Linked DNA regions of Cricetulus griseus. The protein of the gene in region 1 interacts with the protein of each later gene in a biochemical or structural test. Links are inferred from orthologs where the notes say so. Each region holds a gene or a part of one and is shown in the gene's direction. Other genes may lie near its edges. The genes, in order: Plau and Serpina5.

Evidence for each region.
Region 2: the proteins of Plau (region 1) and Serpina5 form a complex in vitro, tested with the Homo sapiens proteins (2 studies listed by BioGRID). The link is inferred for Cricetulus griseus from reciprocal best matches to the Homo sapiens genes PLAU and SERPINA5.

The regions. Positions count from the first base shown.
Region 1 is NW_023276807.1:200,133,669-200,137,484, reverse strand, and holds the end of Plau (urokinase-type plasminogen activator), read left to right. Parts: intron 1-486; coding exon 487-627; intron 628-944; coding exon 945-1,093; intron 1,094-2,251; coding exon 2,252-2,428; 3' UTR 2,429-3,314; downstream 3,315-3,816. UniProt on the Homo sapiens protein: Specifically cleaves the zymogen plasminogen to form the active enzyme plasmin.
Region 2 is NC_048598.1:190,729,247-190,733,721, reverse strand, and holds the start of Serpina5 (plasma serine protease inhibitor), read left to right. Parts: upstream 1-1,381; 5' UTR 1,382-1,384; coding exon 1,385-1,991; intron 1,992-2,896; coding exon 2,897-3,167; intron 3,168-3,509; coding exon 3,510-3,657; intron 3,658-4,475. UniProt on the Homo sapiens protein: Heparin-dependent serine protease inhibitor acting in body fluids and secretions. Inactivates serine proteases by binding irreversibly to their serine activation site. Involved in the regulation of intravascular and extravascular proteolytic activities.

The DNA.
Region 1 (3,816 bases):
GGGGGAATTCGTGGGGAAGAGTTCAGAGCAAATGCATGAGTAACAGAGGGGTGTAATACTGCTCTGTAGAGACCTGGAGTATCCCCAACAGGTAGCTGCTTCTGAGTGGGAAGAACCCTGTTGGCATATGGCTTAGGCTGGGAATGCCCTATTTGTGCAGGGTTAGGTGGATACATCTGTCTGTACCCGAATATAGGGTTTATAGAGCAAAGCCTTGGCTGGCTTTCAGCTTAGCTCCCTTGGCAGGAAACAATCTGTTCAGATGTATATGGTAACTCTGGCTGCCTGAACATCTGTCATCAGCTGAAATAAAGCATTAGGAGAATGTGGTAGGGGAGGCTTCTGGTTGACAAGATACCAGCAGATGCTCTTGGATACTCTATGACTCTAGTGTCATGAAGTATACATCAGTGCTGTAGCATTACCAGGTCACCACCTGACCTGGTAAGTGATAGTCTTTTTCCCTTTGACCTTTTCCTTCACCAGCCTTGCTGAAGATACGTACCAGCACAGGCCATTGTGCACAGCCATCCAGGTCCATACAGACCATCTGCCTGCCTCCAAGGCTTGGCGATGTCCATTTTGGTTCAGATTGTGAGATCACTGGCTTTGGATACGAGAATGTCGGTAAGTGACAGTTGAAGCTGAAGCTGGGGGAGAGTTATGGTCCAGAAGCAAATGTAGCAGACTATCAAAGGAACAGTGAGGAGACAGAGATTGGAACACTATAGAGGTGACAAATAGGTCCAGGGATACAGTGGGAAGCAATGGGCAACCAAGTCAATGGATGAACCATTCATTATTGGTGGAGTAAAGGCTCAGATTGGAACTTTTAAAAAAGGAATAAGGGATTTCCACAGGCGCGATATGTTTTTATCTTCACTCTTGCAGAGAGTCTCATCTATAGACACATTTTAACGAAAACACTTATTTCCTCTATCTAGCTGACTATATGCACCCAAAGAACCTGAAAATGGCTGTTGTGAAGCTTATTCCCCATGAACAGTGTATGCAGCCCCACTACTATGGCTCTGAAATCACTTATAAAATGCTGTGTGCTGCTGACCCACAGTGGGAAACAGATGCTTGCCAGGTAAGACTCCCAATCATCCCTTTTATCACTCCCAAACTCCCCCCAGCTCTTGGAGTTGATCTGACAGCTCTGGGGAGTTTCTTTCTAGCCAACATCCTAAGAACCAAGGACTTAGATCTTTGGGAGCTTATGCCAATACTTACAGCTTCAAACATTTGGCATGAGCCTGTGCTACACATTTAGACTAAAAGGACTGAGAGCATTAAAAACAAGCAAAAAAACCCCAAAAAACAAAAAAAGCTAGACATAATGGAACACATTTATAACCTCACCATTCCTACCACTTTGGAAGCTGAGACAGAAGGATCATGAGTTCAAGGCCAGCCCAAGAGAATTCAAGGTCTGTGCTACAGAGCAAGACCCTTTCTCAAATAAAATAAAATAAAATAAAATAAAACAAAAACCCAAACCAAAACAAGGCAACAGCAAAAACTGGATGGGTGCCTAGTTCAGTGGTACAGAGTTTGCTTAGTATTCTCAAAGTCCTGAGTTCAACCCTCCACCCAGGGAATGGAGACCATAAGAAAAACCAACAGTCTGAGGACATAGCTTAGTTGGTGGAGTGCTTTCACAGCATGAATGAAGCTCTGATCCAGTCCCCAGGACTGTGTGTAATGATCCACACCTGTAATATTAGATCAGAATCAGAAGTTCACAAGTTGCTTCTTCAGCTATATAGTGAGTCCAAAGCCAGCTTGGAATGCATAGGATCATGAGACTCTGCCCCAGTCTCCAAAACAGAAACAAACAACAACAAAACATAGATACTATTCACATCACTTCTGGGCCTTTGGCTAAGAACAAGTGAGATCAATATGATGGTCCAATTCATTATTTGGGATCTGTTCTTGTGAATTACAAAAGATCAGGTATTAGGAAAGGGGGGAGAAGCCTTAAAGAGAATATGATGTCGTAAATAAAATGCTGGGAGGAGAAGAGAAGCATACTTCAGCTGAAAGCACCAAAACTGAAACTGGGCACACTGTATGGCTCTGGGAAGAGGGTTGAACAGCAGCAGACAGAAGCTAAGTAGAAGTTTTTATACCTGATTAGGTAGAAAACAGGGAGTTGCCAAGGTCTCCTCAGATGTGGCCGAAGGGTGGTGGCCCTGTCCTTATTTCTCCCAGAGTTCACCTATTTTTATCTTTGACTTCCCAGGGAGACTCTGGAGGACCTCTGGTCTGTGACATCAATGGCCGCCCAACTCTGAGCGGGATTGTGAGCTGGGGCCGGGGATGTTCAATGAAAAACAAGCCAGGTGTCTACACGAGGGTCTCATACTTCCTGAGCTGGATTCAAGCCCACATTGGAGAAGAAAATGGCCTAGCCTTCTGATGACCTCCAGGTGGTTGAGTAAAGAAACAGATGCACCACTGACTCACTTCCATGCTGCCCTTCACCTCTGCAGCAGGGTCCTCTCTATCAAATGTAGGGAAGAAGTTGAGAAGGGCAGGCTCTGCACTGTTTGCTTGTGCTGCCCAGCAGGGTAAGTGCCAGTAGCTTTACCCTCAGACACAGGCTTGGGTGCTGGCCACCCAGACCCCCTGACCAGGATGGAAAGTTGGTCCTGGCTCAGGATATTGACCAGGAGTTGTCTTTTTCTGGACTAAAGCATCTGAAGCTATAAAAACGTCTCCTGAGCAAGTGTAGGAGGAGAGTTGGTTCCCCTAACGGGTCATTCATGAGATCTGCTGTTGGGAAAGAAATGATTTCCCAATTAGGAAGTGTAACAGCTGAAGCATTTTGAGGGGGCTTGTCCAATATGAGAACGGCGGTTTGAAGAGTAGAGACTCTGGTGGCTTGGAGGAACGGCTCTCGAATTCCACAAATAGATTGGGAAATATTATAGACTGTCTGTGAATGTAAACCTGAGCAAAAACTGGTATATTCCTGTGTCTAACTGCAAGTCTAGGTATTTCCCTAAACTCTGGACTGTGATGCTGGGGCCTCTCAGTCTTCCATGTGATGCGCCATGTGAATGTATCATTCTTAGGCATGACCCATGACGAGCACTAAATGTCTGTTTCACTTTTTATATAGATGTCCACTTCTTGGCCAGTTATCTTTTTTACTTATTAGCCTGGTTCATCCAATCCTCACTGGGTGGGGTAAGGATCATTCCAATATACTTAATATTTAATAATTATGTTCTGCTATTTTTATTTATATCTATTTTTATAATTCTGAATAAAGGTGATCAATAAAATGTGATTTTTCTGAAGATTCTGGTTTCTCTGTGATTCTTGTATGAGAAGAAAGTGGGGACACAAGAAAAGAAGGAAATAATGAGATGACTGCATCTTAGTATCATTGGGGACATCCTTGAACTCTTTGGGACAAGAATGCTTGGATGAGAGAAAACTGCCGATCCATGTCAGGCATGGATGTCCATGCCTTTACTGAGTGCTCCTGAAAGCTAAATAGAGACTGATGTTAGGCTCAGGGCCAGCCTGAACTGTATGGTGATTTCAAGGTCAGTGAGGCTACCTAGCAAGACATTGTCAAAAAAAAAAAAATCCACCAAGAAAGAAAAGAAAAAACTGATTCAAACAAAACAGAAGTGTGGGTACCAAAGACATGGCTAGCAGTTAAGAGTACATGTGCTTGCTGTTCTTGCAGAGAACTGGAGTTTGGTTCCCTGCACCCACTTCAGGTGGCTGACGACAGCTTGTAAGTACCAGCACTCATAGACATACATGATTAAAAGTAAATCTTACAAAAAA
Region 2 (4,475 bases), on another chromosome or scaffold:
TAGGAGACCTCAAAGCCCACCCCACAGTGACACACTTCCTCCAACAAGGCCACACCTACTCCAGAAAGACCACACCCACTCCAACAAGGCCACACCTACTCCAGAAAGACCACACCTACCCCAACAAGACCACACCTCTTAATAGTGCCACTCCCTTTGGGGGCCATTTTCTTTCAAACCACCCTAAGGGCCTTAAGAATTTTGCTATCCCATGTTTTACTACCGATGTTTTCACTTCTTCCTTCAGGTGATCTATCTGACCTGACTTTTTAAAAAATTATCGATGTATTATGGCCATACTTACTCTTTTCCTCATATTCAGGTGTCCCTGTTCAGTCACTACTTGACCTGGACCAGCAGATGATTCTTTGGTGGCAGGGTCCTGAGAGAGCAGACCAGGAGATCAGAAGATAAAGAGAAGATAAAGTTTGGGATCAGGAGGTCTTTTTGTCTATGCCCTATGTTAAGCAAGCCTCTTATAAAGTGCGGTATCTTACATACTATTTCCAGGGAAGAAATGGGACAGAGCCAGCAGAAACTGTCCTATGATGGGACTAAGTCAGGGGGAAGCTAATCAAACAATGTCGCACAAAGGAACAGAGTATCTCCAGATCATTATAGACTGAGCACACTGCAACCTTGGGACTGATAAGGCCAGTCTCTTCAGGGGAAAAAGCCAAGTCCCTGGAACAGAAATGTCAACTCTTTTAAGGCCCCAGCCTCAGGCTCAGACTGGCATTGCCAAGTCTACTCCTGAAGCAGAACTGGGTCCCTTTTGTCTTTTATCAGGACCTCTGAGAAACTCTTAGATCAGCCCAGCTCTCAATAGGGCGGAGTTGGGATGGGGTGGGGACAGAGCCTCTGTGATCAGTGACAATTTCAGGCTGCAATTTAGTCTATCCTCTGTCCTCTTCTAAGCCAGGTGGACTGCCATTGGGACACTCAAACACATTACAGAGTGAGTACACCTGCTGTTATGGGACGTGCTGGGCTTGAGGACGTGGGTGGATGGAACACAGACCCTAGGCATCCCTGTCCAAGCTACAGCCTAGGACTCCTATGAATGAGGCTCAATACAAAATCCTAAACTTACTTAAAACATTATGAGAAAAAAAAATGGTGACGTTTTGTAACTTCACTGCATGCTGGTCGGCAAGTCTGTCTTAAGCAATTGCCTGCTTCATCTGACCTTTCGACAGCACTGAGTACCACCGCTTCTCTTTGCAGTCCCAAGGCCTTAGCCTCTTCCTCATCCCTCGGAAGATAAGTGGAGACTTTCTTTGAGGATGTCAGCCCCCTCATTGTCTCTCTCACTTTGCCCCCTCCCCCGCTTTTCCCTCTCTGAGAACATTTTCCTATTCTCCCATTCAGAACTGCTGCCACCATGAGGCTCTTCCCCATTCTGTGCTTGCTGCTCCTCAGCCTCGGGGTGGCCTCTCGCCAGCGCCACCGCTCCCGCTCCTGGGAGAAGAAGGTGAAGGAGTCCTCTGGGTTAACTCACAGAATCGAAGACTTTGCCTTCGACCTCTACAGGGCCTTGGCTTCTGAAGCCCCTGGTCAGAATGTCGTCTTCTCCCCCCTGAGCGTGTCCATGAGCTTGGGCATGCTCTCTCTGGGGACTAGCTCCAACACTAAGACACAGATCCTGGAGAGCCTGGGACTCAGCCTCCAGCAAGGCCAAGAGGATAAGTTCCATAAGGGCTTCCAACAGCTGCTCCAGAGGTTCAGCCAGCTTAGAGATGGCCTCCAGTTGAGCCTGGGCAGTGCCCTTTTTGCAGACCCAGCAGTACATATTCGGGACAGCTTCCTGAGTGCCATGAAAACGCTGTACATGGCAGACACTCTCTCTACCAACTTTGGGAACCCTGAAATGGCTAAGAAGCAGATCAATGACTATGTGGCCAAGCGGACCAGGGGCAAGATTGTAGACTTGATCAAGGATTTGGACAATACCAACATCATGGTGTTGATAAATTACATCTTCTTCAGAGGTAAGTCTTTGGCTCAAACTTGAACTTCCTCACATTTCTGTTTTTATTGCAAGACAGCATTCCTCCCTCACAAAAGAACAACTCATCCAGGTGCCAGCTGGATGGAAGGAAAGCAGCTACATGTAAGACAGAACCTCCTTAAAAGACTGTCAAAGATTCACCAGGCAGCACCTGGCCCTCATCAGGGCTATCATGGCAAAACAGTACTGATACCAAACCCACTAGATCTGGGAATATGAACCTGGTTGGGGTCAAAAGGGCAGAGGACAGGCACCAAGGGCTTCTGAAGGCAAGTGTCTTAGCTACTTTTCTATTGCTGTGATGAGACACTATGACCAAGGTAGTTTCTAAAAGAAAGCACTTAATTGGGGCTTGCTTACAGTTTCAGGGGTGTGTCTATGACCATTATGACACGGAGCACAGTAACAGGCAGGCAGGTATGATGCTAGGTCAGTAATTGGGAGCTTTACATGTCATCCACAAGCACTCAGCAGAAAGAGAGAAAGCCTGGGCTGGTGTGGGCTTCTGAAACTTCAAAGCCCACCCTCAATGTCATACTTCCCTCAATAAGGTTATACCTCCTAATCCTTTCCCAAAGAATTCCCTCAATAAGGCTACACCTCCTAATCCTTCCCCAAACAGAGGCCCAAGCATTCAAACATACGAGCCTGTGGGGGACATTCTCCTTCAACTCACATGTCAAGATTTTAGGAAAACAGGCATGTAAAAGGTCCAGGGTGCCCAGAGTCAAGAGGGGATTTGGCCTTCAAGGCCAAGAGGTGTGACTGCTCCTACTGCTGAGGTGGCTCTGTAAACACTTTCTGGACTATATCCACTCTTCAGGCACAGCCAAGGGTCTCTCATTCTTACTCAGTACTTCCACTCCTACCCCATGTTCACTTTAGCCAAGTGGGAGACAGCCTTCAGTGCCAAAAACACCCAACAGAAAGATTTCCACGTGACCCCCAAGAAGACCATACAGGTGCCCATGATGAACCGTGAAGATGAGTACTACCACATCGTGGACCAAAGTATTTCCTGCACAGTGGTGAGGATCCCTTACCAAGGCAACGCCACAGCTCTGTTCATTCTCCCCAGTGAAGGCAGGATGCAGCAGGTGGAGAACGGCCTGAACAGTAGAGTACTGAAGAACTGGCTGAACTCAGGCACCAAGAGGTATTTTCTAAGTCATTCTGGGGGCTCTACCTATGCTTGGGGTTACACATGATCCAGGACCACACGGTGATGGTGGGAAAGACTCCTCAGACAGTGAGCTACCTCAAAGCCTAAAGACTTCCTGTGATGTCCTCAGTCCAGGACCTGGTTTAGCTTGAGAGATAAGACCTGGAAGAGTGGGGTTCTGGGGTGACACCAGAGTGGGCAGCCCAAGTCTAAGTACAAATCAGGGGACACTCCAGCAGAGACGAAGGTTCCATAAGGTCTGTGAAGCCACAGAAAGAGGTGTTAAGGATGTCTCAGCATCTCATGGTGTCTAAGAATGGCTTTTACTCTCTCCAGTCAGTTGAACCTTTACCTCCCCAAGTTCTCCATTGAGGGTACCTACCAACTGGAGAAAATCCTCCCCAAGCTGGGCATCAGGGACGCCTTCACCTCCCATGCTGACCTGTCTGGCATTACTAACCACCCCAATATCAAGTTGTCTGAGGTGAGTCGAGATGCTCCCGAGCACCTGCTTTCAGAAATTAGAAGCCTTAGCATCCTATTCCATGCCACCCCACCCCACCCCACCCCATCCCACCCCACCTCCTATCCCACCCCACCCCACCCCACCCCATTCCATCTAATTAGGTCCTGTATTGATCTGTCCCATTCTATCTCTTCTGATCCTGTTCATTCTTTTCTATCCCATTATGATTCCTTTCCCTTAGAGATTCACAGACTTTCCTTTGTATCTTGTTCTTCTTACAATGGGAACCCATATTTGCCACCTGACCTTGGAGGAATCTGTGCCTGTCTGAGTGCTGTCTTCTCTCTCTCTCTCTCTCTCTCTCTCTCTCTCTCTCTCTCCTCTCTCTCTCTCTCTCTCTCTGTGTGTGTGTGTGTGTGTGTGTGTGTGTGAATTTAGCTCTGTCTTTATTGAACAGCACATAAAGTGTCACATGGAGAAGAAAGAATGGTACACTTTGCAGAAACCTTCAACAGAGTTTTATAAGGGATTAAGTCACTAACTCCAACTGCCTCAGACATCAAACATCATTGTTTATAAACTGATATCCACAAGTGAATCCACTTTTAGAAGATTACTTTCAACGTCTGTGTCTCTGTGTATGCTGTTTTCAGCAAATGACACACATGAATTGTTCTAGATCAGAGACTGATAAGAGTACATAACTTAAGATAGCACGGGGAACTCCAAGGCAATTAAGGTTGGTTATTGCATTATTGTCTTAAAAGCAGGAAAAACCAACAGGTTGAGTCCACGGTAGGACAGCAGCCTCATGTGACCTCTGCATATATCATTAT